3 linked regions of the Sus scrofa genome follow. The protein of the gene in region 1 purifies or fractionates together with the protein of each later gene. This does not show direct contact. Links are inferred from orthologs where the notes say so. Each region holds a gene or a part of one and is shown in the gene's direction. Other genes may lie near its edges. The genes, in order: WDR24, DEPDC5 and CASTOR1.

Region 1 (10,639 bases):
ACGGAGGCCGGGGCCAGGCGAGGCCAGCCGCATCTCTTGGCAGAGAGCCTCGGCTAGTGCACGAGCCTGTGACCAGGCGTGGGATGCGGCGGGGGGAGCCCGGGGCCCAGGAACAGGGCGGCCTCGCGCGCCCGGAACAGGAGTGGGGCGGCGCTGTGTCCTCCCAGAAGGGGCCAGGTAGGGGTGGAGCCTGGCCGGGGCGGAGCTGCGGGAAGGGCGGGGCCGAAGCGGAGGGGCGGAGCGAAGTGTTTTGAAGGTTGGGCAGCCCGGCTCTGTTGCATCCGCAGGTGTGTACGCATCACGGACACTGGCCTCAGCTATTTGTCCACCATGTCGTCCCTCCGCAGCCTCTACCTGCGATGGTGCTGCCAGGTACCAGGCCTCCGCGCCTCCGGAGACCCGGGAGTAGGCAGGGGAGGTGGGGGGGAGCGGGGAAAGCCGCCACGCGGAAAGGACGCTGACCCGCACCCGGCCCACTCAGATCCTGTAAGGAAATCCGGGACCCCTCCACACACGCACTGGCCGACGTAAGCGCAACGCGTGGTGTCCCCAGGGCCCCCGCTGACTCATTGGCGAGCGGAGACACCACCCCCCGCCCCCTGTGTACTGGCCCCAGGCGTGCGGGTCCCTTAGGGCTCGAACAGAAATAGTTAACGCGCTCCGCCCTCCCGCTCAGGTGCAGGACTTCGGGCTGAAGCACCTCCTGGCCATGAGGAGTTTGCGTCTCCTGTCTCTGGCAGGTGAGACCCCCCTCCGCCCGCCCCCCTGCATAGTGAGCACCCACCCCCACCTAGCCCGACCGCGCCAGCCCCGCCGCGTGCCCTGTGCCAATCCGTACCTGGGGCTGACTCGCCGTGTCCCGGGTCCCAGTCAGAGGGCGGAAACGCCGGGCAACCGGTAGCCCTGCCGCGCCCCGCCCTCGGAGCCCTCGGAGCACTCGGGCCGCGCCCACTCAGCCGCCGCCGCCTCTCCCGCCCGCCGCAGGCTGCCCTCTGTTGACCGCCACCGGGCTGTCGGGCCTGGTGCAGCTGCAGGAGCTGGAGGAGCTGGAGCTGACCAACTGCCCCGGGGCCACGCCCGAGCTCTTCAAGTACTTCTCGCAGCACCTGCCCCGCTGCCTCGTCGTCGAGTAGCGCGGGGCCTCCCCGCCCCTCGGCCCCTCGCTCTCCTCCCGGCCCCGCCCCGAGCAGGGAGGGCGGCGGGCGGGCCAGCCCCGCGCACGCACGCACGCACGCTCGGGGACTCTGTGCATGCCCCTCGCGCCCGCACTGCACGCCCGCCCTCCGCCAACGCGACAGCCGCCTCCATCGTTCGCCCGCCCCCTGGGGGCGGGGGGCTGGGGCTCGGTCCTGGGGGCGCTTTGAGCTCGCCAGCCGGCCGCCGTGATCGCCGTCCCCGCCACACCCCGCTCTGTCTCCCCGCCGCCCCCCCACCCGGGCAGGGCCCAAGGGGGTTGAGGGGAGCTGGGTCCCCCAGGACACAGGGGCCCGGAAGAGCCCCCTGGGCTTCCCGCATCTCCCCCTGCACCGCGCCTGGAGCCCTCGGAGGAGTGCGAGGGGAAACAGGCCGCCGCCAAAGCCATGGCCCGCCCAGGAGCCCAAGTCCCAGCCAGCCTTCCCCCACCTCATGCCAGCCTGATCCCAGCGACCTCGCCTCTTACTTGCCGCCATGTGAGACCAGCCCTGCTCGCCCCACCCCCACCCCAGGCCTCAGGCCCTTGGGTCCTGGCTCGGCTAGGGCAGAACTGGACTAGGAGAGGGGCTGGCAGCTGACAACACAATCATCGACATTAGCCGCAACCCAGGGGTGGTGCGGCTACCGGGAGAGACCTGAAGCGGGTAGTCAGCCTCAGGGCCTCCGGGCCTTGGGAGCCTTCTTGGGTGGACCCCGCCCCACAAGCCCTGTAGCCAGCCCGGCCCGGGCCCCTCAGCACCACCCTCCATCCCGGGCAGGTCTCTGTCAGGTGGAAGCTGGAAAGGGGGCCCCAGCCAGCGACTCTGATCTTCCAGTGGCCAGCACACCCTCACCACCCAGGGGGAGGGAGGGCTCCTTTCCAGCCACGCCCCCCTCCCCAGCTTCCCAAATCTCTACCTGCCCACAGGGGCTCACCGTGTTCTGCCCAATCCCAAGACACTGGGAGGTCCTGGGGGTGCTGGCACATCTTGGCAATTGCTGAGGAGGGGGCTGGGACCCCTTTCCATCCCAACCTTGAGCCCCAGGATATCCAGCACCCATAGCCAATCTTGGGACACACCCTCCCCCCCATCTGGTTGGAAGAGAGTAAGCAGTTTCCAGAGAGCCAGACAGAGAGAGAGAGAGAAAGAGAGAGAGAAAGAGCGAGCGAGAGCTGCTGTTGAAAAGAAACAGTTCAACAGCCCAAAGATTTCCCTGCCCTTGGAGTGCTGGTCAGAGGCTCCAGGGCTGCGGTGGTCAGGAGCCAGTTTCTGCAGCCCCTCCTCCCCACAGCTCCCTAGTGGGGAGGGGCAGCTGTCCATTTGTCCAAAGTATTAATGCAACTGAAGCTGTGATATTTCCAACGATTGTAGGAGGAAAAATTAGGGGGAGAGAGGAAAACAAAACCAACCCCTAAAACCATTTTCTTATTGTACATAACGACCTCATTCTCCTGTATATGCGGAAGATATAACCTTATATTTGGTAAGTGTTTCTTGTGCTATTTTATCACGTGACCTGTTTATAAAAATATATATTAAAAAAAGTTGTAAAAACACGTCTGACTTGTTTGGAGGTCATCAGATCATGCTGGGGGAAGGTGTACCTCTCCTGTGTGACCCGAGTCTGAGTATGTGTGCAGCTCTCAGTGCATCCATTACTGGTTCTTTCAACAAAGAGGCAGAGGCTGGTCACACTGTGCCAGGCAGGAAACCCAGCTGGGACCAGCACAGAAGGTCCCTGACCTCTCATTGCTTAAATCGCTAAAATCATTACACATCGTATTCGCCCAAAATATTTAGGATCCTGCCCATCCTTCCAGAAGGGCAAAAATGAGCCCTGTTTGGGAGTTCCTTTGTGGCACAGCAGGTCAAGGATACAGAGTTTGTTGCTGCAGCAGCTTTAGTTGCTGCTGTCAGGTGGGTTTGATCCCTGGCCTGGGAACTTTCACATGCCCTGTTTCATGCAGAGGGTCACGAAGGTTAAGAAAGGTCAGAGGGGAGTTCCCGTTGTGGCACAGCGGAATCGAATCTGACTGGTATTCGTGAGGACGTGTGTTCAATCCCTGGCCTCGCTCAGCAGGTTAAGGATCTGGTGTTGCTGTAAGCTGCGGTGTAGATTGCAAACACTGCTCCCATCCCGCATTGCTGTGGCTGTGGTGTAGGCTGGCAGCTACAGCACCAATTCAACCCCTAGCCTGGGAACCTCCATATGCCCCAGGTGTGGTCCTAAGCAAAACAAAACAAAACAAAACAAAAGATTCGCAGGAAGGGTCGGGGAGTTCCTGTTGTGCCCCAGCGGGTTAAGAACCTAACACGGTGTCCATGAAGATGCAGGTTCAAACCTTGGCCCTGCTCAGGGGGTTAAGGATTTGGCTTAGGCCTGCAGCTGTAGCTCCGATTCCACTCCTAACCCAGGAACTTTCACATGTCCCAGGTGCGGCCTTAAAACAAACCAAAAAGGGGTCAAGGATGTCTTAAAAACTCACAGTGCAGCTAGGAGAGATGGGGACTCATACCCAGGAGAGAAAAGGAGGCTCTGGGAGGATCACTGATGTAGCCAGTTGTGTGGAACAGGTGGGGGTCCGGCACAGGAGCTCTTGTGGGCAGAAAGAGACATGCTCCCTGCCTGGTAGGGTTCACACTCATTTGCAACAGAAGGTAACTAGCATACAAAGGGAAGGGTCGTGACAAGTGCTGTGACGGTAACAGTTGACTGTATGGGCCAAGTTAGATGCGGTGGCCCAGAAAGGCCCCTTAACCAGCCACTCAGCTGAACCCTGCTAGATGAGGAGATGCAGCGGAGGGCGAGCGAGCCCGTGCGACGGCCGCGAAGCAGGAGAGAGCACGGCCGGCTGGAAGCCGCCATGGCTGGAGGTGCTCGGGGAGAGGAAGAGGCCAGGAGTTTGGGATTTCTTCACAGAGCATTGGGGACTTAAGGAGAATCTTAGGCCGACGAGTAGTACCTGTACGCTGTGCGCGTTCGGATCAGGGGGAACGAGGGACGCAAGGAGAGCGGTTACGGGGCTGCGCCCGGGATCGGGTGGGAGGGAGAGGGAGGGGGCGGAGACGACGGAGGGACTCGGGACTCGGGACTCGTTTAGGGTTGCCCGGACTTGCTGACGTACCTTCGCGGAGAGATGAGCACTGGTGTTAACATACTGTAATAAAAAGGCCACCAGCCGAGGCGGAACCGAGGGAACCCCTCTACCCTCGTCCCGGTCCACCCCTCCGCCTCCAGCAGCGGGGCTCCTCGACCCGGAACTTTTGTGGTGTGGGACCCGCTTCCGGTGAGAGACTGGCAAGAAAAGGACCACATCCGGTGAGGGGCGTGAAAGAGAAGGAGTGCTTCCGGTGCGGCGGTTCCGGCCCGGCCCGGCAGTGTTAGCGAGGGGTTCGGTTTCTCTCCGAAGGAACGACTTCTCAGTTCGTCTGGCTCTGTCTCGGTGCCGGCTGCCCCCGCTCCCTCGCCGCCTCTGTGCCGCCGGCCTCTTCTGCTTCCGGTCCCGCCAGACCCCCCTCCGCGCCCCGGGGCTCCTTAAGCAGCTCGATCCTTGAAGTCCCCCCGTGTCCCCTGTGCCTCTATAGCCTGTGTTCTCCGGGCCCCTCTAGTCCTTCTGCCCCCTCCCCTGAGGGCGGCTCCCCGGGCGAGACAGACCGACCGAAGGCCCAGTGACGGTCCTGATCTGGCAGTTGGGGGTTTGGAGAGGTGGCCTGGCAGGTACGATCTTCTTCAGAAGTGAGACATGGGACTGACTGGCCTCGAGGCAGCCATGGCGCCTTCTGACTGCCCAGCTAGGGGGATGGAACTTTCCTATCACACTGATTAACCGTAGACTGCCCTGGACCGGCTCCCGAGACTGACCAACCGAGGCCTAAGCCGTTTTGAAGGAACTACCCAGCTGACAGGCACTAGCCAATCCCCCCTCTCCCGCCCCCGCCCCCATCAGGCCTGCCCACCTCACTGACCTTTCCCCACCACTACGCGTGCAGCTATGGAGAAGATGTCCCGGGTGACCACAGCCCTGAGTGGCAGTGCACTGACAGGTCGCACCATGCACTGCCACCTGGACGCGCCAGCCAACGCCATCAGTGTGTGCCGTGACGCGGCCCAGGTGGTCGTGGCTGGCCGCAGCATCTTCAAGATCTACGCCATCGAGGAGGAGCAGTTTGTGGAGAAGCTGAATCTGCGTGTGGGCCGCAAGCCCTCGCTCAACCTGAGTTGCGCAGATGTCGTCTGGCACCAGATGGATGAGAACCTGCTGGCTACGGCGGCCACCAACGGTGTGGTGGTCACCTGGAACCTGGGCCGGCCGTCCCGCAACAAGCAGGACCAGCTGTTTACGGAGCACAAGCGCACGGTAAACAAAGTCTGCTTCCACCCCACTGAGGCCCATGTGCTGCTCAGTGGCTCCCAGGATGGCTTCATGAAGTGTTTCGACCTTCGCAGAAAGGACTCTGTCAGCACCTTCTCGGGTGAGGCCCTTGGAGGCGAGTCGGGCCGGTGTGCATCTCTGCAGGCGCCTGGCCTGTCTAGGCAGGTTGGGAAGTGCCGTGTGCATCACAGGCCCTCAGCTGTGCTTCCAGAGGGCTTCCTGGAGAAGGGGCAGGCCGAGCTGGCGCTGGAAGAGTGGGTGGAGGTCAGCGGAGGGGGGCGGGGGAGGCCTGGTGGAAGTGCGAGGCGCATCTGGAGTGTGCTCACAGCTCTGATGCACTTGTGGGGCCAGCCGGAGCTGAGGCTGAGCGTGGGATCGGGGAGAGGGCAGAGCCAGAGCAGATCCACAGCCACCCTGGGCAGCTGAGCAGTCTGTTTCTCTGCCTTGTCTTGCCTCAAAGCTCCAGACCACCTCATTTGCACAAAGTCTGCCTCCAGGGTCCTCAGCCCAGGGAAGCAGCAGCAGCACCGTGGTGTGTGTGTGTACACACTGCCTCGTCCCTCCAGAGGTCTTTTCCCTGTTGGCCCAGCTCCCTGATGACCCACCTCGAGCCGGCTCCCCCTTTTCCACCTCCAGGAGATCAAGTGAAGCACGGGGCAGAGCCCTCTGGGAATGGGGGGCACTCAGGCCAGACCTTGAGTTGGCTGTGCTGGGAAGAGCTGGACACTGCCCTTGAAGGCTCTTGGTGTGGTGGCCCATGGGGGTAGACGTGGACCCTCGAGGGCTCTGGTCCGCAGGGGCTGACCCGGCAGCTCCAACTACAGGGGAAGGGACTGGGCAGAATCCCGGCTGCCCCATCCATGCCTCCTTGGGCCCAAGGCCCCCAGAGGAGAGTGGACAGATGGTCCAAAGAGGCTCCTGTTCCCACAGTGCTCTGGTATCCAGTCCTGAAGCTGGGCACAGCTTTGCACGAGGACTGATGTCAGACACAGAATCCAGGGGAAATCGAGGCCCCAGAGCCAGGGCCGAAAGCCACCCGACACCTGGTGTTCCTCTTGCTGGCGCAGGCCTCATGTCTGCTCCATGAGGCCTCCTGGCCTGGGCGACGGCATCCCCATCCACTGCGAGGGCCCCCCACTGACCTGCACCCCCACCGACGTCCTGCCCGCAGGCCAGTCCGAGAGTGTGCGCGACGTCCAGTTCAGCATCCGGGACTACTTCACCTTCGCCTCCACGTTCGAGAACGGCAACGTGCAGCTCTGGGACATCCGGCGGCCCGACCGCTGCGAGAGGATGTTCACAGCGCACAACGGGCCTGTCTTCTGCTGCGACTGGCACCCCGAGGACAGGTGGGGGGCGCTGGGGCCGCGGGGCAGGGCGGGCGGGGCCTGTGGAAGGGCTCTCCCCGCCTCAAGCCCTTCGAGGCAGCGATCGGGGAGCCCTCCCCCCGCAAGAGGACCCTGAGGGCTTCCCGCGCCTTCTGCAGGGGCTGGCTGGCCACGGGTGGGCGCGACAAGATGGTGAAGGTCTGGGACATGACCACCCACCGCGCCAAGGAGGTGCACTGCGTGCAGACCATCGCCTCCGTGGCCAGAGTCAAGTGGCGGCCCGAGTGCCGCCACCACCTGGCCACGTGTTCCATGATGGTGGATCACAACATCTACGTGTGGGACGTGCGCCGGCCCTTCGTGCCCGCCGCTATGTTTGAGGAGCACCGTGACGTCACGACAGGCATCGCCTGGCGCCACCCGCACGACCCTTCCTTCCTGCTCTCGGGCTCCAAGGACAGCACCCTGTGCCAGCACCTGTTCCGCGATGCCAGCCAGCCTGTTGAGCGCGCCAATCCTGAGGGCCTCTGCTACGGCCTCTTTGGGGACCTGGCCTTTGCGGCCAAGGAGAGCCTAGTGGCTGTGGAGTCGGGGCGCAAGCCCTACACTGGGGATCGGCGCCACCCCATCTTCTTCAAGAAGAAGGTGGACCCTGCTGCGCCCTTCGCGGGCCTCGCCTCCAGCGCCCTCAGCGTCTTCGAGATGGAGCCCGGCAGCGGTAGCATGAGCTGGTTTGTGGACACGGCCGAGCGCTACGCCCTGGCTGGCCGGCCGCTGGCTGAGCTCTGTGAGCACAACGCGAAAGTGGCTCGGGAGCTCGGCCGCAACCAGGTACAGGGGGGGGTCGGGGGGGGGGCACGGGCTGAGGGCCGTGACCTCACGCAGGCACTCCTCTGACTGCTGCGCCCAGACCCTGCTCCGAGTTCAGAGCGCCAACGGAGCTCTTGCCCAGGTAACTGAGGGTATCGAGAACCCCAAGACTGGGCCAGATGCGCCAGCGCCGTTTTGGGATGCAGGTCTGAGGTGCTGTGGCTGGAGCCCTATCTGGCAGCTTACTCTGGCTTTTAGACTTCCCAGGGTGTTGGCCCTGCAGAGAAGGTGTGCATACTGCCTCTCTCATCACTTCCCTGGGACCCCAGGCTCCCTCCCTCCTTTCTTCTGGGCCCCTGCAAGGTCGAAGCGAGGCTTTTTCCTTCTCGTGGTCCTCAGTTTCCCAGCTGGGGCAGGCCAGGACATGGGTCCCTGGGGCAGCTGAAAGCTGAAGGGTTTGTGGTTCCATCCAGGGCCCCAGAACCCCCATGAATGATCAGGGCTCCCCCCATAGGTGGCGCAGACGTGGACCATGCTACGGATCATCTACTGTAGCCCTGGCCTGGTGCCAGGCACCAACCTCAACCACAGCGTGGGCAAGGGCAGCTCCTGCGGCCTGCCACTCATGAACAGGTAGATGCCTGGGGGAGGCTCTTCCCAGAAGGTGGCATTGTTGGAGCCTACCCACCCACTGGCCTTTCCTGCTCTCAGTTTCAACCTCAAGGATATGGCCCCAGGTCTGGGCAGCGAGACGCGGTTGGACCGCAGCAAGGGTGACACGCGGAGTGACACAGTGCTGCTGGACTCCTCGGCCACGCTCATCACTAATGAAGGTAGGCTGGGGGCAGGGACAGGGTGTTCACGGGAGCGGGGCAAGGGCATCCCAGAGTGAGCCGCCCTCCCTCCTGCAGATAACGAGGAGACGGAGGGCAGCGACGTGCCTGCCGATTACCTCTTGTGTGATGTGGAGGGTGAGGACGATGAGCTGTACCTGCTGGACCCTGAACACACGCACTGTAAGTGAGAGCTTGGGGAGGGGGGCGGCAGGTGGGGTCAGGGGCTCAGACCCGGCTGCCCCCCACCCCTGCATTGCAGCCGAGGAGCCCGAGTACGTGCTGCCCCAGGAGGCCTTTCCGCTGCGCCACGAGATCGTGGACACTCCCCCCGGGCCCGAGCACCTGCAGGACAAGGCCGACTCGCCCCACGTGAGCGGCAGTGAGGCAGACGTGGCCTCCCTGGTGCCCATGGACTCTTCCTTCTCCCTCATCTCGGTCTCGCACGCGCTGTATGACAGCCGCCTGCCGCCTGCGTTCTTCAGCGCTCTGGTGTGTGACATGCTCCACTTCTACGCTGAGCAGGGGGACGTGCAGATGGCCGTGTCGGTGCTCGTTGTGCTGGGGGAGCGCGTGCGCAAGGACATCGACGAGCAGACCCAGGTGGGTGGGTGTCTCCTTGGAGCAGCTGCCACCCCCATGACCCCCCCCCACTCCGCCTACACCCACACCCCTGTCTGTGCCCAGCACACTTGGGTGAAATCCCTCAATGTGCCCGCCAACCTGGCCTCCTACCTCCCTCCTCCTTTCCCTGCACCACCAGGAGCACTGGTACACATCCTACATCGACCTGCTGCAGCGCTTCTGCCTGTGGAACGTGTCCAACCAGGTGGTCAAGCTCAGCACCAGCCGCGCCATCAGCTGCCTCAACCAGGCCTCTACCACCCTGCATGTCAACTGCAGCCACTGCAAACGGCCCATGAGCAGCCGGGGCTGGGTCTGTGACAGGTGCCACCGCTGCGCCAGCATGTGCGCCGTCTGCCACCACGTGGTCAAGGGTCTGTTCGTGTGGTGCCAGGGGTGCAGTCACGGCGGCCACCTGCAGCACATCATGAAATGGCTGGAGGGCAGCTCCCACTGTCCCGCCGGCTGCGGCCACCTGTGCGAGTACTCCTGACCCCCCTGCGGGACCGGGAGGGGAGGGGTGGGCTTTTGAACCAAATAAAGAAAGTGGGAACCGCGCGGTCTAAGCTGCTTGTTACTTGGGTGCGTCGCTCACGGCCCGAGTCCCCGGTTGGGCGACTCCGGTACGTGTGTGACAGCGTGTCCTCAGCCGCGGGCAGTAGCCAATAGCAGCTCTAGGTGCGGCCCTGGCCCCGCCTTTTCGGACGTGCCCTCTCCTTCCGGGGCGGGCCCAGAAAGCTGCTTCCGGCAGCCGGGCCGTCGCCCTGACAGCGGGGCTCTCGGGGTGCCTCGCGGCAGCGGCGGCGGGCTCATGGCGACGGGGGCGCGGCCATTCCTGCTGCTCGCGCTCTGGGCGCTGGCGCGTCCAGCCAGGAGTCCCGGGGAAGAGGGCGACGGAGGGTGGTGAGCGATGACGGGCGGGCGGGCGGGGCGGGCGGTGGGGCGGCACGGGGCACTGATGAGCGGCTGCGTCCGCAGGCGGCGGCGCGAGCCGGCGGCGCCGGCCGTCGTGGTGGAGGAGGAGCGCTGCACGGTGGAGCGCCGGGCGGACCTCAGCTACGCCGAGTTCGTGCAGCAGTACGTGCACCCTCCCCGGTAGCCACACTCCCCACGCTCCAACACCCGTCACTAGGGCTCCCCCTGCACCACTGAGCCGAGAAGCTGGTCTGCCGGCCTGTCCTCTCGAAGCTCCCCTTGGGCTCGGGAGGGCCAGGGCGGCGGCAGCGGCGGCGGCGGCGGCGGGCGCCCATCGGACCTGGCCGTAACCTACCCTTCCTTCTAGCTACGCCTTCTCCAGACCTGTCATTCTGCAGGGGCTCACTGACAACGCGGTAAGTGCTCACGCCCGTCCTGGCCACCTCTGGCCCCTACCCCGGGCCTGGCCCCTAAGTCCTCTCCCCATCCCAATCAGAAGTTCCGGGCCCTGTGCTCCCGTGAAAGGCTGCTGGCCTCGTTTGCGGACAGCATGGTCCGGTTGAGCACTGCCAACACCTACT
Region 2 (9,913 bases), on another chromosome or scaffold:
GATTGGCCTGGTCTGGAGTTCCCTGGTGGTTTAGCGTTTAAGGACCTGGAATAGTCACTGCTGTGGCAAGGGTTCAGTCCCCAGGAACTTCCACATACCACAGGTGCAACCAAAAAAAAAAAAAAAAAAAAAAAGATTGGAGAGCTCCCGTTGTGGCTCAGCAGTTATGAACCTGACTAGTATCCACAAGGACACGGGTTTGATCCCTGGCCTCCCTCAGTGTGTTAGGGATCCAGTGTTGCCAAGAGCTGTGGTGTACGGTCACCAACTCTGTAGCTCCAATTCAACCCCTAGCCTAGGACCTTCCATATGCCAACATGTAGCCCTATAAAAGCAGGAAAAGAAGATTGGCCTGTTCTGGACATTTCACCCAGTGACCTCATGCACCCCACAGCCTTTCATGACGAGCTTCTCAGCACCATGTTTTCAGAGTCATCGCTGTTGTGCACAAATTGGGGAGAACATGAGTGCTTATGCTGAGGGCTCCTCCTTCCCCCCCTGCCCTTCCAGTGGCCATGCAGCAGCCTACCACCTGGCACACGACAGCCATGGATGACTTCGCCAGCTTCCAGCGCAAGTGGTTCGAGGTGGCCTTTGTGGCTGAGGAGCTCTTGCACTCCGAGATCCCTGCCTTCCTGCTGCCCTGGCTGCCCAGCCGGCCGGCCTCCTACGCTAGCAGACACAGCTCCTTCAGCCGCAGCTTTGGGGGGCGCAGCCAGGCAGCTGCACTTTTAGGTAGGTGCCCGAGCAGATGGGGCCTGGGATGCGCTAGCAGGTGGCTGAAGCTGAGTGGCTGCCAGACAGGGGAGCAATGCCTCAGGGGCCAGGGTTACAGCCACCACAGCTATCAGTACTGTGGGCTCCTGTGCTGGCTTCTATTGGCCCAGTGGGCCTGGCTCAGTATTGTCCCACCAACAAACAGGGCTCAACGGTTCTCTCGAATCAGGGCAGGACAATAAACCTGTGGATGGGAGAGGCTGTGTGGGCTGGTGCTGAGCTTGCTGCAGCACACAAGACAGTCAGTCCCCCACAGCAAAGAAGTTCTGGTCCAAAATACTTATAGCGCCATGGCTAAGAAACCCTGCTGTGAGGTTTTGCAGGCCCTGCAAGATCCATATCAGAATAAGCCCTTTCATCAGAATAAGCCCTTTCACTTTCAAGAAAAGGAAGTTTTTTCAGGAGTTGCCATTGTGGCTCAGCAGGTTAAGAACCTGACTAGTATTCCTGAGATGCAGATTTGATCCCTGACTTCACTCAGTGGGTTAAGGATCCGGCGTTGCCATGAGCTGGATGTGGGTCACAGATATGGTTCAGATTCCTAGTTGCTGTGGCTATGGCGTAGGCTGGTGGCTACAGCTCTGATTCTGTCCCTAGCCTGGGAACTTCCATATGCCCCAGGTGTAGCCCTAAAAAGAAAGCAAAGAAAAGGAAGTTTTCTAAATAACTTAATAATTACCCTCCCTACCTTAAAAAAAAAAAAAAAAAAAAAAAAGCCAAAATCTAACAGATCTGTTTGGCAAAACAGTTTTCTAAAACATGGTCTGAAGCTCAGGATGAGATTCCAGTCATTCAGTTTAGCTTTGGTTCTTAGTTTCTTCAAAAAATTGTGGTTAGGAGTTCCTGTTGTGGCCCAGTGGAAATGAATCTGACTAGTATCCATGAGGATGCAAGTTCAATCCTTGGCCTCACTCAGTGGGTTAAAGATCCGGCATTGGTCTGAGCTGTAGTGTAGGTCACAGATGTGGCTCAGATCCCGAATTGCTGTGGCTGTGGTGTAGGCCAGCAGCTATAGCTCCAAATTGACCCCTACCCTGGGAACTTCCATATGCTGTGTGTGGCCTTAAAAAAAAAAAAAAAAAAAAAAAAAAAAAAAAAAAATTGTGGTTAAAAAGGAACACTCTATGGAAAAACATGTCCAAAAAATCAGAAGGGTGGGATGAAGAGAAGATGGATGTCTGCAGCAGGGAGTTTATAACCTGGGGCTGCGGGCACCAGGGGGGCAGTAATCCTGTAGCTGGGCAGCATCTTTCATATGCGAGTATTTGCTGGGAAAACATCCTCATGTTAACTTTTCATAGGCTCCCATGATGGTCATAGTAGAGTTTTACTCCATCAGCTTCCTTTCTCACCAGCCCTCCCACGGGAAGTGGGTTTCTTGTTCCTTTTATACCCGACACGGCATGATCACAGCTGCTTCTCTCCAGTAACATCTCCTCACCTTTGTGTTATGATCCGCGATCCTTCTTCGCAGCACTTTTTTTTTTTTTTTCTGGTTAGAATATAGACTTTAACAGTGTCATTTTTTTATGTGAGGAAGATCAGTTGTGTTGAGTCTTTTTCTCAGAAAAAAATGAATATGATTTATAGGGAAGAAGGGATTTGTATCCTTTATGACCTGCTCCTTTTTTTTGTTCATTCATTTCGTTGTGTTCCTTTTTAGACATTTCTAGTTCTCAGTTGGAAGTTAGCTGCAGAAAGGTGTTTTGAAATGCCTGGTCCTGTCTGGCTTGGCCCTTACTAGCTCCCACTTCCCCTCCCCTGTCATCTGGTGTCACTGAGCTTGGCGCTCAGGGGCATCCGAGACCCTGGAAAAAGCAGCCCTGAGTCCCTTGGGCAGCTCACGTGCCTTGTGCTTCTCAGCCTTCTCTTGACAGCCCACCAGACCTCAGGCTCTGGGGACTGTAGGGCACTCGGTCCAAACCCTGATACTTGGAGTTCCCTGATGGCTCACTGGGTTAAGGAGGAGGCATCATCACTGCTGTGGCTCAGGTTCAATCCCTGGCCCAGAAATGTCCATGTTCCTCAAGGAGCCTCTCAAGTCTGATGTTCTGTTAGGTGGTCCAGCAGTTTCATGTCTAGATGCTCAATTGTTTACTTTTCCCCCTTATCCTGCTCCTTCCCTTCCATCTCTTGGGGCCCTCCCACATGCTGACATAGCTGCCACTGTCCCGGAGCAGAGGACCGTGACCCTAGATGTGGATGTGAACAACCGCACGGACCGACTGGAGTGGTGCAGCTGTTATTACCACGGTAACTTCTCGCTGAATGCGGCCTTCGAGATCAAGCTACACTGGATGGCAGTAACTGCCGCAGTGCTCTTTGAGATGGTAAGACCCCCTTGCATGTGGTGGGCCTTGGCTCACCTGAAAGGCAGACGAGCAGGTGCTCGGTAGAGAATCATAATTATGTCACTTTAAAAGTTGTTTTAATTCAGACTCCTCTTACCTTCCAGCTGCCCTGACACCTTGCTGGTCCTTGCAGAGAGTCTGGGTGTATAGAGGTCCTATTTTTTTTTTTTTTTTAAACAGACATAGTAGCTCAGAATACATACTATTTATTCTTGTTGTATTAGTATTACCTACATATCTTCTGTATCAGTATAAATAAGTAAGCCTTGTTGTTTTTGTTTTGCGTCATCTTTTCAGGTTATTAAAATAACATTTGTTTCTTAAAAGTTAACATGTAGTTAATAGGAAATAAGTCATAGGAAAATGAAAATCACAAGAAGCAAAAATCGAAGTCATCCATAATCACAAGCATTTTACAGTTTGACATGTCCTTCCAGCTCCCATTTGTCTATCTGCACAACTAAAGATCCATTTTTATGTAATTAAGATCCTACAGTTAGCAGAGTTCCCTTGTGAAGCAGAGGGTTAAGGATCCAGCATTGTCACTCCAGTGGCTTGGGTCGCTGCTGTGGCATAGGTTCGATCCCTGGCTCAGGAACTTCCACATGCTGTGGGCAAAGCCAAAAAAAAAAAAGTATCTTAAGACTTAGAAAATTGCCACTGTTCCCCAAGAAAGTGCCTGCTGGGGAGGTTGGTCTTGATGCCCCAGTAACTTTTGTTCCTGGTCGTTCATTGGACAGACAGCATTTAGGAGTTTGCAGAGAACAGCTCTCCTTCTGCCAGGTCAGCGCTTGTCACTTTTGGCCAGAGTCTACAATGGTTGTCTTGCTGCCTGTGTCATGTCCCTCTTGGCCAGCCTGAGTGGACAGTTTTCCTATTTGATATTTTGGACTTAGTAAATTTTTGATAAAGGACAAAATTAGAAGGACTTAACCAATATCTCAGGACCTTCCCCCAACATCCATTGACCAAGAAGAGGCAGAAAATAGTTCTCCCTGGTCTTTCCTCCAAAAGAACCCCCAAGGTTGCAGAAGCTTGGGCCTGAAGAGGAGCTGTGTGCTCACCTCATGGTCCTTCAGGTATTTGTCAGGAGGTTATACTGTGCTTCTTCCTCCTGGGACGGGTCTGCAACCAGTGGACATTGATAAGTGAACATGTTAGTCAATGTGCAGGCTGCCCCCAGGCAGCACCCTCCTTGAAAGTACTTTCTCTTGTCAGAGGGAATTTGGAGGTGACACTATGTGTCTCTGTGTTTTCCGCCAGGTCCAAGGTTGGCACCGCAAGGCCACCTCCTGTGGCTTTCTGTTGGTGCCGGTGCTGGAGGGTCCCTTTGCACTGCCCAGTTATCTGTATGGCGACCCACTCCGGGCCCAGCTCTTCATCCCGCTCAACATCAGCTGTCTGCTCAAGGAGGGCAGTGAGCACCTGTTTGACAGTAAGACACGCCCCCACTCCCCCCCCCCCAGAGGGCCTGTCTCTGCAAGCAGACCCCTCCCCCGAGGTTGCCTCCTCTAAGTGCCTGGAGGCTAAGGAAAAGGTGGAACCTTTGGACGAGGGGCTGGAGTTTTAATCCTGGTTCTTCCCTTAGTGGCTGGGCAACCGTGATCAAGTCATTCGGTGTCTCTGAACCTCAGATGCCTTATTCCTAAAACGAGGGCGGCCAAAGCTGCCGTTCCAGCTCAGGAAGACCCTCCTGAGACCTGGAAGGGGTGGTGGGCGGGAGGGGGCACTGTGCTGTAAATGGGGAGCTGACTGGGATTCTCCAGACCTTAGCACCTCTATCCCAGAGCAGCCCTTGCCCATTGCCTCTGCTGTGTGACAACTGCCTCATACCACCACCTCCTTGCTCTGCTCCTGTCTTCACACCAGCCTGCAGGAGCCAGGCTGGAGCAGTAAGCTGGTGGTGGAGGCAGGCACTCGTCTGCCCTGCTCCCCACCCCTCCCAAGTGGGGAGAATTTCCAAAATTCTCTCTGCTCCAGCTTGACTGGTTGGGGCTGCGGGAATCTGAACCTCACAGGAGGCTTGGATCTGCTGTTCCATGAAAAAAGGCTGAAATGGGGACATTGAAAGCAAAACAGGAGACAGGGTGCAGGTGTCAGCACTAGGAGGCCCATCTCTCAAAGATGGCAGAGTAGGAGGACTCATTCAGAGCCCTACCCTTGAACGGAGCCCACAGACACCCACTACCACCCCTGCCCCAACCATCTTCCACTGGACTCCAAGAGCAGGTGGAGGGACAGGTCTGGGGACAAGCCACCATCACACAGCACAAGCTCATTCCAAGTGCTCATTGCAATGAGCATGTAATTGGTTCCTACAAAGCTTCCCATGAGCTCACAGATGATCCTTTTATAACGAAAACCTAGAGTTGCTGCTGGTGTGTCAGAGCACTTTGGCTTTTCAGGTATGGAAATGATCAATGTGGAAGAAAAAACTGACGCAAAGGAGAGGCCCTCTTCCCAGGTTCTTGTGAGTCTGCTGTGCTTGGTGACAGAGAACTGGCCCCCTAGGTGCAAACAGCTTTTGTTTTAAAGGCCCAAGTGTATGTTTTTACATCTTGGAAAACATCTTTGTATAGACACAAGGCTTTAAGTTATAGTTGGGGGGGTTCCAGGTAAGCTTCACAGCCCTGGAGGCTGTAGATCCCCTGATCCTTAGGGTTTACAAAGCACTCCCCACACTCACACATATTTTCCTTTCCTCTTGAGGTGTGTCCAAGAGGGGACCGTTTTTTGCAGTCCTGCAATGCCAGATGATTTCGTTTGTTCATACCTCACATCTTTAAGCCAGGCACTGCCTCTCTTTGTGTGTGTTTGTGTGTGTCTTTTTAGGGCCGCACCTGCAGCATATGGCGGTTCCCAGGCTAGGGGTCACATTGGAACTGCAGCTGCCAGCTTACACCACAGCCACAGCAATGCCAGATCCAAGCCACGTCTGCGACCTACACTGCAGCTCACTGCAACACTGGATCCTTAGCCCACTGAGAGATGCCAGGGATTTAAGCCATACCCTCATGATACTAGTCAGGTTTGTTACCATTGAGCCACACTGGGAACTTCACAGGCACCACCTCTTATTGCTGTTTCTAATATGTTGAGGGGATGGAGAGGTCTCCCCCCTACAACCGATACCATCCAAAGAAAGACCCTTTTCTGGGGTTTTCCACTTTTGCACAGGGTGCTTGCAGGGCTGACACTAGAGGACATTTTCATGTGAGCTGATGGTTTTCCCTGCCAGTTATAACCCACTCTTCAAGACCAGCATCCTCTGTTGGTTGCCATGGTTACAGCTGAGAGAAAGGAGTCCTGATTTAAAGGAATAAGGACCTGAATCTAAAAATCGATTTTCTTACTTTTGTGCCACTTCTCTTCTTGTTATCTCCCTTTCTGATAATAGGGAATGCAAAATCTTAAAGATCTGACAAGAGGGAGTTCCTGTTGTGGCTCAGTGGTTAATGAATCCGACTAGGAACCATGAGGTTGAGGGTTTGATCCCTGGCCTTGCTTAGTGGGTTAAGGATCCGGCATTGCTGTGAGCTGTGGTGTAGTTTACAGAGGCAGCTTAGATTCCTCGTTGCTGTAGCTGTGGTGTAGGCCTGTGGCTATAGCTCCGATTCGACCCCTAGCCTGGGAACCTCCATATGCCACAGGGGCAGCCCAAGAAATGGCAGAAAGACAAAAAAAAAAACAAAAACAAAAAACCTGACAAGAGTTTGCTGTGTCTGTTTTTTCTTATTAAAGCCAAAGTCTTTTTTTTTTTTGCTTTTGTGCTCTTTGGTTACCCAGAGCCTTCAAATCAATCCTATATATAAAATTCCAAATACAGAAAGCAGTAAAGCCCCTGCAGGCACCCCTGGTCCCTGGGACAAGGTCTTGTGTGGTTGCTGCTCCAACCCTCAGCACCTCAATCCCCAGAGCAGCCCTTGCCCATTGTCTCTGCTGTGTGACAACTGCCCCATACCACCACCTCCTTGCTCTGCTCCTGTCTTCACACCAGCCTGCAGGAGCCAGGCTGGAGCAGTAAGCTGGTGGTGGAGGCGGGCACTTGTCTGCCCTGCTCCCCACCCTTCCCCAGCTGATCACTTATCCAAAAATTCATCTTTATGTTTATTTTCTTCATTTCCCCAACCTCTAAAATGAAAGACTGTTAATTTTTTTTCCCTTAGAAGTGAATGGTGTGCATTTACAGCTTATCCTTTGGTTGCGTGTTAACATCCTGCTCCTTTCTGCTTTTCGCATAGGTGGTTATTAGAACAAGTCTCATGTTGAATACTGGTAGCTCATACTGGTGGCTGAGGGCCCATAATATTCCCTTTTCTAGACCCTGCTGGAGCTTGGGGACTGTCACTCTCTCTAGGATGTCCCTCCTTGGAGTAGAGGCTGGTGCTTCTGAAAGCAGGTGGTATGGAAAAGCCAAGCTCAGGCTCAGGGGGAGAGAATTGTAGTGAAAGATACTGAAGGCCATACCCAGGGAGAACTAACCTTGGAATCACAACTCGGCATTTATTCCTTTTTTTCTTTTCAGACTTTGAACCAGAAACATACTGGGATCGAATGCACCTTTTCCAGGAAGCCATTGCACACAGGTTTGTCCCTTAGCAAGAGGGAAGCATGGAGAGGCATCCGTGTTTGTTTTAAGTGGTAGTTACCATAGCGAAACCCAGTCCATGTGCTTTCTGGAGAGATGGACCCAGTCCACCACCAAGAGATTTGCTGCTTATCTCCGACAGACCCCTCTGCCTTGGTTTCAAAGATGAGCACTGCCTCTTCAGTTCCTGTAGCTGAAATTTTTCAGCCCCTATTCTTCTAGTTGGATGCAGAGATCTCTCTCCTTAGTCTCCAACAAGACCCTGAGCCAAGACTGCCATGAGATGAAAAACTGTAAAATTTGTTAAGAGCCCCTTGGCACATGTCAAAGAAATAATGAATGGTTAAAAAGCAGTAGATAAGTTTGGTATATATATACATATGCTTTTTAGGGCCGAACCCATGGCATATGGAGGTTCCCAGGCTAGGGATCGAATTGGAGCTACTGCTGCCAGCCTACACCACAGCCACAGCAACTCGGGATCCGAGCCGCGTCTGTGACCTATACCACAGCTCAAGGCAATGCCGGATCCTTAACCCACTGAGCGAGGCCAGGGATCAAACCCGAAACCTCATGGTTCCTAGTTAGATTCGTTTCTGCTGCACCATGCCAGGAACTCCAAGTTTGGTAGATATTTATTGATGTCTAATATGTGTAGCAGAGAAAGACTTTCCTAGGCTTAGCTGTCTATCCTCCAGAGCATCGAGTTAGAACATTGCTAACTCAGTGTCCAGTTGCTGCTTCATGTTAATTATGGCAAAAACAAAGCCTCTGTTCCAGGTTCAGTATCTTATCATATTGTTCAGGTGCCTTCAGACGTTCCACCCCCTCTCCAGGCTTCGCTGTACACACACTACCACAACCACAGTAAGAAGTCCAGGCTCTTCAGCCTCCCCAACCCAAGTGGGCCCAGGCTCACTTTAGACATTACTCTGCCCTTTTCTTCTCTGTTCTCTTCTTCGATACTTAGTAAAGGCTGTGAAATGAATGCCAGGGCATCTGACTTTCTCCCTTCAGGAGGAGGGGGTACGATTTGGGACAGTAGCATGCAGACGTTGGTGGCTGAGGGCTTTGATGTGGGGAGCAGACAGGCCTGGTTCACCTCTGCCTCCTCCACTGGCATCTGGTTGAGGCACCATGGGCAAGTCCTGGCACTGCTTTTCCTGTGAGTTCTCACCCCTCACAGGGCTCTTGAGAGGGTCCCCTGATGTCCTGGCCTTAATAAGCCCTCAGGAGACGGCAGTTATCACTAGGAAAACCCCAGCCAGCTCATGAGCCTATTAGGGGTCAGGCCCAGCCATGCCAAACAAATAAATAGCCTTGATTGGAGAGTAGAGAGGAAGAAAGACAAACTCTTGAGCCACTCCTGCTGTCAGAGAACCAGCCATCAGTGACAAGCTTCAGTATACATCAGCAGATCCCTTTAATTTTCTGTGTGTTACTTCATGTGTTCTTCAGTAAATAATTATCAAGTGCTAGTGGAAAGGCAGCAGCTTCCATAGAGGATGCAGAACAGTGCCTGCCCAGAGCTCAGTGCAGGGCAGGAGACAGGATTTGACCTGCTGTAGTCCTGCCTCATCACATCAACCCCTCAGACTCAGTGCAGGAGCCCCATCTGTCAGCATGTCTTTTACAGCCCTTAGCAGGTAGCGCTGAAGGGAACACACATTGCAGAAATAGAAGAGCCAGAAACAGGACACACTGTGGATGAAGAGTGGCCCTTCCTGCCTATTTCTAGGACACAGCCAAGCAGAGTCCCAGATAGTGTTCCTCACCTTAAAGAAAGGGTTTCAGTGAAGATACTTCATTACAGTTCCTTTCCTGAGAACCTACTGGGCAGCTAGTGTGGGAGAACAGAGGGGCTGCGGGGAGAGGGCTGGCTCAGCAGAATCGAGATCCCTGGAGGGGCTGGCAGTCTCTGGTGTAGGGGTGGGCACAGTGCAGGGGAGTTGATACATTGGGAAGGGATGTTGGGTGGAGATGAAGCCCTGATGAGGGAGATCAGGGAGGGTGAGGGGGGAAAGGGGCCAGGCAGAGGGGAGAGAGTGAGCCAATGAGGGGTGGCAGATGGGAAGCAGTGAGGCTGTGAAGGAGCAGCCTGAAGGGCCCATGGGAAGGAGACCACCCTAGGCTGGCCCCTTCTCCCCTGCCATCAGTGTCATGACAGCCATAATTTCCCTGAGGCTCTAATCAGCGT
Region 3 (10,452 bases), on another chromosome or scaffold:
AGCCACTCCTGTCCCCACTTAAATCCTTCCTAGCCTTTTGTTGCTTTCAGGCTGAAGTCCCAAGGCCTGCCAGGGTCAGGACTCCTGGGCTACAACTTCTTGGTTCCACACTCCCTCCATCTCTACCTCCAGCCGTGTGGCGATTGAGCAGGATCGCGGCTCCTCCAGTGCATCAAGTTCCTCCCTGCTCAGCCTTGACATAGGCTTAAACCTTTCCCCCCTTCCTTCCCCTGGTACCTCTTCTTTTCCCTCCACTTTCAGCCCTCTGGAGCCTTCCTTGACCTTGACAGGTGGGACCTCTGGCACACGCTTACCCAGTGTTCCTGTTCCTGCCATGTTCTGGGCACTTAGGCCCCTCCCCTCGTCTCTTTGCTTCTGTGATTTCTGTCTCTCTGCCCCTTTGCTCTACATGCTCCATGAGGGGGACCAGCTGTGTCTGGATTGCTCACCTTTGTATCCCAGCACCCAGCATGAGGTTGGCACCCTATAGTGTTTGCTTCCTGAGGAAGGGATGAATGCCTGCCTGGAGTTGGGAGCTGGGACATCCTTCCCACCTTGGCTGCTGTGGTCCCACAGTCCGGTGGCTTCATGTCTCCCCAGGAGGCCATCCAGCTGGATGGGGAGATCCTCTTCTCGCTGCTCCAGAAGGTGTCTCCTGTGGCCCACAAGCACCTCAGCCAGCAGAAGATTGACCCCTTGCTCTACATGACAGAGTGGTTCATGTGTGCCTTCGCCCGCACCTTACCCTGGAGCTCCGTGCTGCGTGTCTGGGACATGTTCTTCTGCGAAGGTACCTCTGTCCCTAGTCCAGCCCATGAGGGCCTCTATTTCTAGAGAAACTCCCTAAAGGGCCCCTCGCACTCACTGCTGGCTCTCCATGCAGGAGTCAAGATCATCTTCCGGGTGGGGTTGGTGCTGCTGAAGCATGCGCTGGGCTCCCCCGAGAAGCTCAAAGCCTGCCAGGGCCAGTACGAGACCATTGAGCGGCTGAGGAGCCTCAGCCCCAAGATCATGGAGGAGGCCTTCCTGGTCCAGGAGGTACAGTCCACATCTTCCCCCCACCACTGGGAGGGAGGGGAAGACATGAGGGTCTTTTGAGGGCCTGGTAGCCCTCTGCCCCCAAGGCCTGGTGCTCAGCAGCCCAGGATTGTGCACAGATCTCATCCTTCTGTCTGCATGAGAAGAACAGGCACAGAGAGGCCTAGGTCTTCAGGAATATGAGTAGATGCAGCTCATCACCCCCCTTCCTCCCTGGCTCCATAACCATGGTTTTGCTTTATTTTCCCTTTTTTTTCTTTCCATTGTGGATTTGTATCTGGGGCTGAAATGGGGTGACACATAGTTAGGCAAGTAGACTCAAGAGTTGTGGGGAGTTTTCTCCTCTGAGGCAGTGAGTATAAAACTCCTGGCTCACCTGGCACTCAGGGACTTTTGACCACCACTACTTTAGTGACCAGGGCTGGGACAGCTGAGGGAGAGCAGGGGCCCAGGCTGGGGGGCAGAAGGGGAAGGTTCTTCTTCCTGGTGCCCACCTGCCTGTCACCACCCCTACAGGTGGTAGAGTTGTCAGTGACAGAGCGCCAGATTGAGCGCGAGCACCTCATCCAGCTGCGGCGCTGGCAGGAGACCCGGGGTGAACTGCAGTGCCACTCGTCGCCCAGGCTGCACGGCGCCAAGGCCATCCTGGAGGCAGAGCCTGGCCCATGGCCCACCTTGCAGCCTTCACCATCCATCCGCCTGCCTCCGGACGCCCCCCTCCCTGGCTCCAAAGGCAAGTCCAAGCCATCCAAGCAGGTCCAGAAGGAGCAGAAGGAACAGCGGAAGCAGGCGAAGGCGAGTGGGCAGCCAGACAAGCCCACAACCACAAGTCAAGCCAAAGTGGTGGCCGCTGCTGGAGATGCATGTCCCCCACAGGATGTGCCCTCGAAGGACCCAGGCCACCAGGACCCAGCCCCTCAAGACTCAGCTCCCCAGGACACAGCCCACCACCGCTCCCAGGAGAGCCTGACATCCCAGGAGAGTGAGGACACCTACTTGTAACCATGGCAGCTCAGGCCCCGGGGCTGGGGTCTCCACACACCTATACAGTACATGGACTGACTTCAGGGCCTGCCCACCCTCTGAGGGCCCGGTCGCCTGGTCGGCAGGGAGTCTGGCTGGCCCAGCACAGATTCTGCCTGAGCCTCCTTATTTATTTTCTCCAGAGTGGAGCTTGGGCAGGCCCAGCTGGGGCAGGCAGAAGTGGGTGAGGCCTTGTTTGGCCCCCTCCTCCTGGAGGCATGTTCTCCGGGACCAGGGCACTGATGTGAGGGGAGAGGGAGGGATAAAGGGTGGGGTGCTCTTTGTGTAAAATAGAAACATGGTTTTGTACAGAAATAAACAGGCTTGTGTAGAGAGCTGGTGTGCAGCTAGGGACTGGAGAGGGGGGTCTGTTCCCCGACCCCCGCTGTGCTCAGCATTCTTCTCCATACCCTGCAGAGGCCCCATCCTGGTCCTAGTGCAGCACTAGAGCCTTTCTGGGAAGTACCTTTGCCAGAGGGGAGGCCAAATCTAGGGCCCGCTCCTATTCCTGGCCCCTGTATCCTCTTATCCTGTCCCCTCTGACCCATGTTCACCATCTGCCATGGATGAGGGTCACTAGTGCTGGGGCAGAGCAGAGCCTGCTCCCCAGGCCTTGATCCCTGCCCATCACCGAAGGGGAGGGGTTCCTTAGGGAGGTCCTTTTAAGGGTCTTCCTCTTCTAAGGTCTAGCCTGGATGCTATTTTGGACCCCAATAAGGTAATGAGTATTCATTCTGGGTTGGGTGCTGGTGCCAAGAGTGAGGGATCATGAATGCCCTCACATGCTCATCCCAGGCCTCCATCAAAAGCAAAGGGGTGTGGGGCCAAATCTGTATCTTTGATGAAAGGCTACCTGCCATGTAGCATATGCCAGGCTGGGCTGGTTGTGTCACATGCCTGATCAGGTAGGTTTTATTATTGTCCCCCTTTTATGGATAAGGAAACAGGAGCTAAGTGGGAAAAATGAAGCTGATCCAGATTTGTACCCAGAGCCCCCAACTACCTCTCCTGACTTTGCCATTGAAGGCCCAAGTTGGCAGTAGTGTCATAGCTGATGACTGGCAAGGGTGAGGACAGGGTGTCCCTGGGAGAGGCCCCCCTTCTGCTGAGGAAGCAGCTTTTCCAGTCAAACAATAGTGACTGTTCTTGGCTGGCCACCAAGCTGGGCTGGGCAATGGGGGAGCAGGGAGGCAGGACTAGAGCCTCCCTGGGAGCTTTTAAGCATCTCAGGGCCTCAGCCTGGAACATCTTGTCCTGGTACAGCTGGGGATACTGAGGCCTGAGGAGGTCAAGGGTCACATGAATCTGTCAGGGCAAACCACACCCTTCCTACCTCCTGCCCCTTACCCCTGTGGCTTCCTACCCCATGTACACCTGCCGTCAACCAGATGAGGGGCTCAGCCTCCTGAGGACACCTCCCACCCCCTGGCCCTCTAGGGGTCTGGCCAGGATGTGGTGGCTGCAGTGTTCCAGCAGAACCCACCAAACTGGTGAGTCCAGGGAGGGAAGGTGCTGCCCCACTACTAGCTGCGTGCAATTGCCGCCACCCCCCACCCCACGCCCGCCCGCCCCAGCAGGTAGGAGGCCTGCTCAGGCCTGCTGGGACCCAATCAGGCCTGAGGCCTGCTTTAACCTGCTTGGTTCAAAGCCTTGGATCTGAGGCCTGAGGATGTGCAGGCCAGGCAAGGGCCCCTGGAACATGTCCCATCCTGCTGGGAAACCAACCTAGGTGTGCTGATGTCTGCTCAGCACTGGGGTCTTTGCAAACCTGAGAGGCCTGAGCAGACCCCAGCCCTAATGTTGAAATGAACCCAAGGTGGCACTAACAAGCTTCAGATCTGGGGGCCTCCTTGGACATGAAACAAGCTTAAATGTGCTCAGGCCCAAGTTCTAATGACTGTAGGCTTTTAAGTCTGACTACACACTGGGCTCTGGATGCATGGCCCTGCCCCCCAAAGTTTGAGCTTTGGGCATTCCTGTCCCAAATACTTAAGTCTTAAGCCTCAAATGTTAGTCCAGACTACCTTCAGCTCCCTACCCTACAGTGTATTGCTCAGAGGTAGCTGGGGCCCTCCCCATCTTTGATTCTGGTGGGGAGCCTTCTACTCTGAAAGGTGGGTGAGAGGAACAGATGTGGGGACCACCAAGTTCAGGTTGGGTTTCATCTTGTTAGCCCACTCACAGGGCTCACAAAGCTTGGAGGGGTTTGTATCAGTGCTATCCTGGGCTGTGGAACTTTTTTCACTGCCACCCCAGCCAGTTCTGGTGGCCCTGCCTCATGCTAAGCCATCAGAGGAAGGAGAGGGAAAGGTGCCAGGACCCTTTATTGGGACAGAACAACAACGTCTCCTAGGTTGCACAGTGGACCCCTACCCACCCATGTTTCAAGGATTTGGGAGCAGTGTTCTGGTCACAGCCGAGCCCCGGTTCATCTTGTGGCCCTCCCAAGCCTTGGTGAACTTAATCAGAAGGCCCTTAGTGCAGAAAAGACCCCAAGCCTCCCCGGGCTCTCCGGAGCAGCTGCGGGAGTCCTGCGGAAAGGGCGGAGCCCGGAGTGGGGGAGAGGCATGGGCGGGGCCTGGAGGACGCGACGGGGGTGGGGTTAGGTGGTGATTCCGGAGCCAATGCCGAAGGGGCGGGGCCATAAGGGGCGGAGTGAGTCTCTAGCGTTACAAGGAGGCGTGGCCACCCTGGATTGGCCCCCAGTCCTGCGCGGCGTGGCCGTCAGGGAGCTGGCGTGGCTGGCGGCTAGGACTCTGCGGCGCAGCGGCTCCTTTAAGCACCTCCCGGCACCGCCCCCGCCGCCCCGCCCCCGGCACGGCCTGGGTCTGTTTGGCCGTGGGGTCGGGTCCGCGCGGACCGCGATGGAGCTGCACATCCTAGAGCACCGGGTGCGGGTGCTGAGCCTCGCCCGGCCCGGTCTCTGGCTCTACACTCACCCACTCATCAAGCTGCTCTTCCTGCCCCGCCGAAGCCGGTGCGCGTCCGGGTCCGGGCACAGAGGGGGGTGGGCTGCACTGTCACTCTGAGATGGGATCGGGAGATTAGGACCTCCGCGGGGCCAGCGGGAGCAGACAGGGAGAGCGCTCCCCGCCCCCCGCTCCCCACCGCCGCCATCCGGCCTGGGCCTACCCTCCCTGGGACCGCCGCCTATCCGGCTCGTGAGGCCCCCTCACAGAGCTTGTTAAGGCGCAGACAGCCTGGGATGGTCAGTGCTTAACTCCTAGTGGTTTCACATGGGGGCATTTCTTCCTGGCAACTTCGGAGAACTTTTTCCAGCTGCCTCTCATCGGGTCAGAGGGGCTGGTCTAAGGGGGCTCGGACGCCCGGGACTGCCGCCTTGGGTGAGCCTCTCCTTCCTCTTGGAATGCTGGGCAGGGGCTTCTGCAGAGATCTGGGCGGAGGAAAACGGTTCGCAATTCTGGAGATGGGGCCCACGCCCCACTGTTCTGGGGAGGAAATTGAGTCTGGAGGGGGCAGGGAGACGCCCAGCCGGGGTGGGGGGTGTCTGCCCGCCCCCTCCGCCCACCCAGGCTGAAGATGCTCCCTGCCCCCACCCAGGTGCAAATTCTTCAGCCTGACGGAGACCCCTGAGGATTACACGCTCATGGTGGACGAGGAGGGCTTCAAAGGTGGGGACTGGGCTGGGGAGGGTGAGTAGGGGAAGGAGGTTGTCCTCCCCTTTTTGCAGGATTCTAAGAGAATGCTAGGATCTAATGTACCAAGAGTTGGGGCCCTGAAGGCAGATGATCTGGGTTCCAGTCCATTTCCACTACTCACTGGCTGTGTGCCCTTGATCAAGTCACTTCCCCTCTCTGAGTTGTTTATTTCGTTTTATGTAAAATGGATATAGTTACGGTTCTGATCTATTTGGCCCCATGAGGGTTTTATAAATGGGGCAGTGTGTAAAGGGCATTTAGCAGCCACAGACCAGCAGCAGGGCCTCAGTTACAGCTCTGGGGCAAGAATCAGGCTTCTGTGGCTGTTCTTGCCCCCCACCCCATTATTTCCCCTTGGGCTTCACTCCCTGGTGTGGGTCACTCCCTCCCTGACTGGTCTGGGAACTCCGAGAGTCTGAGGGTTGGGGAAGGAATGCAGGAGCCGGCAGCCAGCCCAGGGCAGGATCCTACGGGGCCTCCTAGCTGTGTTTGGGCGATTAGCAGCCACCTTGGCTGTGGCCCATGTGCTGGACTGGACACCAGCCTGGTCCCTCCCTGATCCCTGGAGCTGATATCTGGCTTCTCTCCTGCCAGCTTGACCCATCCTTACAGGCCTGGAGTCTCTGGCCAGCCAGCTGGGGCTCCCTCCCTCCCCTACAGGGCTACTTAGTTTCCCTATTTATGCTGCGGAAAAGTCTGGGTCTGCTAACGAGGAAGGCATCTCCCAGCCAACTTGGACTGCTGGCTCCCCCTGGTGGTACCACATGGTGTAAGGCCTCTGATACTCAGTGCATACATACTCAGTTTCTGTAGGAGAAACAGGCTCTCAGAAGTTAAATCATTTGCCACAGGTCAACAGAAAGTAAATGATGAAGCTGGGATTAAAACCCAGGTCTGTCTGAATTTTGAGCTCCAATTTTATTTTATTATTTTATTTTTTACCTTTTCTAGGGCCACTCCCGCAGCATATGGAAGTTCCCAGGCTAGGGGTCTAATCAGAGCTGTAGCCACCAGCCTGCGCCAGAGCCACAGCAACTCAGGATCTGAGCCGCGTCTGCAAACTATGCCACAGCTCACAGCAACGCCAGATTCTTAACCCACAGAGCAAGGCCAGGAATCGAACCTGCAACCTCATGGTTCCTAATCAGATTCATTAACCACTGTGCCACGACGGGAACTCCAAGCTTCCATTTTAACTGGGAAGTTTCAATCCCTGACAGGCCAACACCCAAAGCACTTCTCAGTCTTTGCATATATGCAGGTCTCAGGAGCAGAACTTGGGGGAGGAGGACAGCTCTATTTTCCAGAGTGGACCTTACCTTGGTAGAGCCCTCCAAAGCGCAGACAGGGAAACTGAGGCCAGGGGCCAGCCCTACAGGCCCTGACTGGGTGTGTCCCCCTGCCCCACAGAGCTGCCCACGTCTGAGTTCCTACAAGTGGCCGAGGCCACGTGGCTAGTGCTGAATGTGTCATCCCACAGCGGCACAGCAGTGCAGGCTGCTGGGGTCACCAAGATTGCCCGCTCAGTAATTGCACCGCTGGCTGAGCACCACGTGTCCGTGCTGATGCTGTCCACCTACCAGACAGACTTCATCCTGGTGAGTTTCCTGCAGGTGCTGGGGCAAGGCAGGGTGGACACGGGTGCCTGGGGACCCGTGTATTGTGTCATCTTTGTGGCCCAGGTGCGGGAGCAGGACCTATCCGTGGTGATCCACACACTGGCCCAGGAATTTGATATCTACCGAGAGGTGGGCGGGGAGCCTGTTCCTGTTGCCAGGGATGATTCCAGCAACGGCTTTCCCCGTGCCCAGCATGGTGAGGGTCACCTCTGACACCCAGGCCTGGTGGGGGCTCCTCTTCCCACTGGGGCCCTTCCCTTTGTGGGTGGGTCTGTGGGCTTGGGGAGACCAGCTGACACTGACCCCCTCACAAGATAGGGAGACACGGCAGGGAAACTAAGGCAGATTCCGGTATGTAGCAAGTGACCCTACACCTAGCCCAGGCCCCCTTTCTGGCTGGCCACCAGGGGGCACTCCAGCCCACAGTCTCCCTTTCACCCACCACCACCTGCTCCCTGAGCAGGGCCCAGCCCCACAGTGCATCCCATCCAGAGCCCACAGAACCGCTTCTGTGTCCTCACGCTGGACCCTGAGACACTGCCAGCCATCGCCACCACCCTCATCGATGTCCTCTTCTACTCGCACAGGTGGGCCTTGTTTGTCTCTTTGATCTCACAGCTTGTTCCCTACGCTTTGTCCCACCACCTTCCACCAGTCCCTTGGCTCTGCAGTGCTGTACCCTGTTCCATGTCTGGGGTTCCTGGCAGCCTGCAGTGCCCACAGGCCCTTCACTGAGGTTCAGGCAAGGTCCTGGTGCTGCAGCTGGAGCCCTTCCCTTTGGGGTGGGCAGAGCTACTCCTGAAGTGTGCCCTGGTCAGGCCCTGTGGTCCTGGGATCCTGCATCTTTGGCACAAGTAGGTTCATCCTCCTCCCCCATCCCTACCCATGGCATGGGGAGGAAAGTGGCTCAGGGACATGAGCATCTTCCCAGGGCCACCTGTGCCAGCCCCTTCCCAGGGGTCTAGAGGCCCACTGGGCAGAGAGGGAGAGGGAAGAGTGCCTGAGCCTCCTATCCCTTCCCAGTGGCCCTAAGGAGGCAGCCTCTGGCAGTCCTGGATCCAGCTCCATCACCTTCTTTGCTTTCTCCCTCATCGAGGGCTACATCTCCATTGTCATGGATGCTGAGACACAGAAAAAGTACGTGACCCCTGACCCCAGGTGGGCCACAGACCCTAAGCCAGTCCCTAAGAGGAAGGAGGTGGAACATCAGACTCCAAGGTCATCAGGCTGATCTGCTCTGGGGGCTCACAGTGGGGCAAGGAAGAGACAGGGTACCCTGCCCACCACCCCTGCCTCCCCAGGTTCCCCAGTGACCTGCTGCTGACCAGCTCCTCGGGGGAGCTGTGGAGGATGGTGCGCATCGGCGGACAGCCCCTGGGCTTTGGTGAGGGCTGCACCTTGTGTGTCGGGGGCTTGGGAAGGGCCAGGAGGGGGGCATCAGGGTGATCCACATGGACCCCCTCCTCCACCCTCAGATGAGTGTGGGATCGTGGCCCAGATTGCAGGTCCCCTGGCTGCGGCTGACATCTCTGCCTACTACATCAGTACCTTCAACTTCGACCATGCCTTGGTGAGCACCACCGTCTGGGGCCAGGGCTCCTGCAGGGACACTGAGGCCCAGGAGGGGGCCCAGGAGGTGGTCCCAGTCAGGCCAGGAAGTTGAGCAGCCGTGACACCTTCCTCTGTCCACCTGCCCGCAGGTGCCCGAGGACGGCATCAGCAGTGCTATCGAGGTCCTCCAGCGCCGGCAGGAGGGCCTGGGCTCCTGAGCAGCAGCCTCCGGCCTCTCCCCTTGCCCTCAGGCTTCCAGAGATTTCTCGAATATTTCCTCAAGCTCTGGGACATTCCTGCTGGGGGATCCCTCCTTCTGCTCTGTGTATATAAGCTGTGGGCAGAGCACCGGCTCTCACGTGGACACACGTGTCTGCCCCCCACAGGGGAATACGGTGCTCAGGGCTTCCTCCAGGAAGCCCTCAACCCATCACTCCCTGCTGGGCCTCGGCGTTTGCACATTCCCTGCCTGAGGCCCAAGCCTTCCCCCTTTCGGTAGCCCCGTCTGGCTGGCTGCTCCTGGACAGGGCCCTGATCTCCGTTCTGCCTCGGGCTGGGGGTTGCCTTCCCTGGCCAGGTGAGTTCTGACAAGTGCCTCCCCTTCCTGGGACCACCAGAAGTATTTTTACATCTCTCTCTCTCTTCCTTTTTTTATCAACTTGTTAATAAAGAGCTTGTAGTGAGTGGGCTGGGCTGTGGTCTTTGGGGTTGTTCAAGCCTTGGCCACAGCTACTTTGCTGCCCCTGGGGGCCCCTCTGCCTGAGATCCTGGACTCTCCCTGTGCAGCTGGCTCAGGCCGGGATCGCCTCACCTCCCACCATTCTCACCTCCAGAGCGTAGGTGAACCATTGCCATTCTCCAGATGAAGGACCAGAGGTGGGAGGTGGAGTGACTTAGCCAGGGTCCTATGGTTCCTGTCAGGGCTGCCTGGCTCTGGGGTCCAGTCACTTTCTTCATTTCTTGCTGCTTTTGAATAGTCTACACGGTTCAGAACAGGGGCAGAGGCTCCTGGACCTTCCTGCTTGGAGCTCCCCCAGGCTCCTTGCCACCTTGGGTGTGGCTGGCCTGTTGCAAAACACCCTTAAGGGGGGCCCCAAAGCACCTTTTCTCCAGGCTGCTGCCTGCTTTCTTTTGGACCACACCTGAGTTCTGGCTGTCCCTCACAGGAGACTGATCAGTTCTTGCCACCAGAGCTCCCACTGGAGCAGTGGTAGGAGGGAGCCAGGCAGAGCGGGGACCTGGGAGCCCACATGCTGGGCTTCACCTGGCTGGGAGGACAGGACAAGGACCTGGAGGCCACCTGGAGCCCACTCTTCCTGTGATGGCCGCATGCTGGGGTCAGAGGCTCCACACATCTGGGCCCAGGTTTCCTGCCACAGAGGGGCCGCCTCCCCGCTCTGTGAGCTGGGACTCCACCGTGGCCCAAGGGGGCCCCACAGACGCTGGGGAGGTTATCAGGTGCCCTCAGCCTAGGCCCGCCTGTGCCCAGGAAGGGAAGAAGGGTGTGACTTCGGCGTACTCAGAGGTCTTGGTGGCTCCCCAGAAAAGCCAGAACCAGGCCA

What was found.
Region 2: the proteins of WDR24 (region 1) and DEPDC5 purify together in Homo sapiens (affinity purification with western blotting; 4 studies listed by BioGRID and IntAct, with this or other methods). This does not show direct contact. The link is inferred for Sus scrofa from reciprocal best matches to the Homo sapiens genes WDR24 and DEPDC5.
Region 3: the proteins of WDR24 (region 1) and CASTOR1 purify together in Homo sapiens (affinity purification with mass spectrometry; 3 studies listed by BioGRID and IntAct, counting the BioPlex papers as one, with this or other methods). This does not show direct contact. The link is inferred for Sus scrofa from reciprocal best matches to the Homo sapiens genes WDR24 and CASTOR1.

Annotation. Positions count from the first base shown.
Region 1 is NC_010445.4:41,080,923-41,091,561, forward strand, and holds WDR24 (WD repeat-containing protein 24), read left to right. Parts: upstream 1-4,492; 5' UTR 4,493-5,167; coding exon 5,168-5,648; intron 5,649-6,719; coding exon 6,720-6,897; intron 6,898-7,034; coding exon 7,035-7,707; intron 7,708-8,200; coding exon 8,201-8,319; intron 8,320-8,397; coding exon 8,398-8,519; intron 8,520-8,597; coding exon 8,598-8,702; intron 8,703-8,781; coding exon 8,782-9,122; intron 9,123-9,282; coding exon 9,283-9,636; 3' UTR 9,637-9,706; downstream 9,707-10,639. Other genes in the region: FBXL16 (F-box/LRR-repeat protein 16), read left to right, coding at 288-372, 677-740, 985-1,133; JMJD8 (jmjC domain-containing protein 8), read left to right, coding at 9,955-10,046, 10,122-10,238, 10,426-10,474, 10,555-10,639. UniProt on the Homo sapiens protein: Catalytic component of the GATOR2 complex, a multiprotein complex that acts as an activator of the amino acid-sensing branch of the mTORC1 signaling pathway. The GATOR2 complex indirectly activates mTORC1 through the inhibition of the GATOR1 subcomplex.
Region 2 is NC_010456.5:48,512,650-48,522,562, forward strand, and holds part of DEPDC5 (DEP domain-containing protein 5), read left to right. Parts: intron 1-510; coding exon 511-735; intron 736-2,937; coding exon 2,938-3,107; intron 3,108-4,391; coding exon 4,392-4,563; intron 4,564-7,653; coding exon 7,654-7,714; intron 7,715-9,913. UniProt on the Homo sapiens protein: As a component of the GATOR1 complex functions as an inhibitor of the amino acid-sensing branch of the mTORC1 pathway.
Region 3 is NC_010456.5:47,261,031-47,271,482, reverse strand, and holds CASTOR1 (GATS-like protein 3), read left to right. Parts: upstream 1-4,753; 5' UTR 4,754-4,925; coding exon 4,926-5,038; intron 5,039-5,052; exon of another isoform or gene 5,053-5,405; intron 5,406-5,622; coding exon 5,623-5,693; intron 5,694-7,130; coding exon 7,131-7,535; intron 7,536-7,802; coding exon 7,803-7,926; exon of another isoform or gene 7,927-8,193; intron 8,194-8,362; coding exon 8,363-8,476; intron 8,477-8,640; coding exon 8,641-8,723; intron 8,724-8,814; coding exon 8,815-8,909; intron 8,910-9,039; coding exon 9,040-9,108; 3' UTR 9,109-9,578; downstream 9,579-10,452. Other genes in the region: TBC1D10A (TBC1 domain family member 10A), read left to right, coding at 601-790, 884-1,038, 1,555-2,040. UniProt on the Homo sapiens protein: Functions as an intracellular arginine sensor within the amino acid-sensing branch of the TORC1 signaling pathway. As a homodimer or a heterodimer with CASTOR2, binds and inhibits the GATOR subcomplex GATOR2 and thereby mTORC1.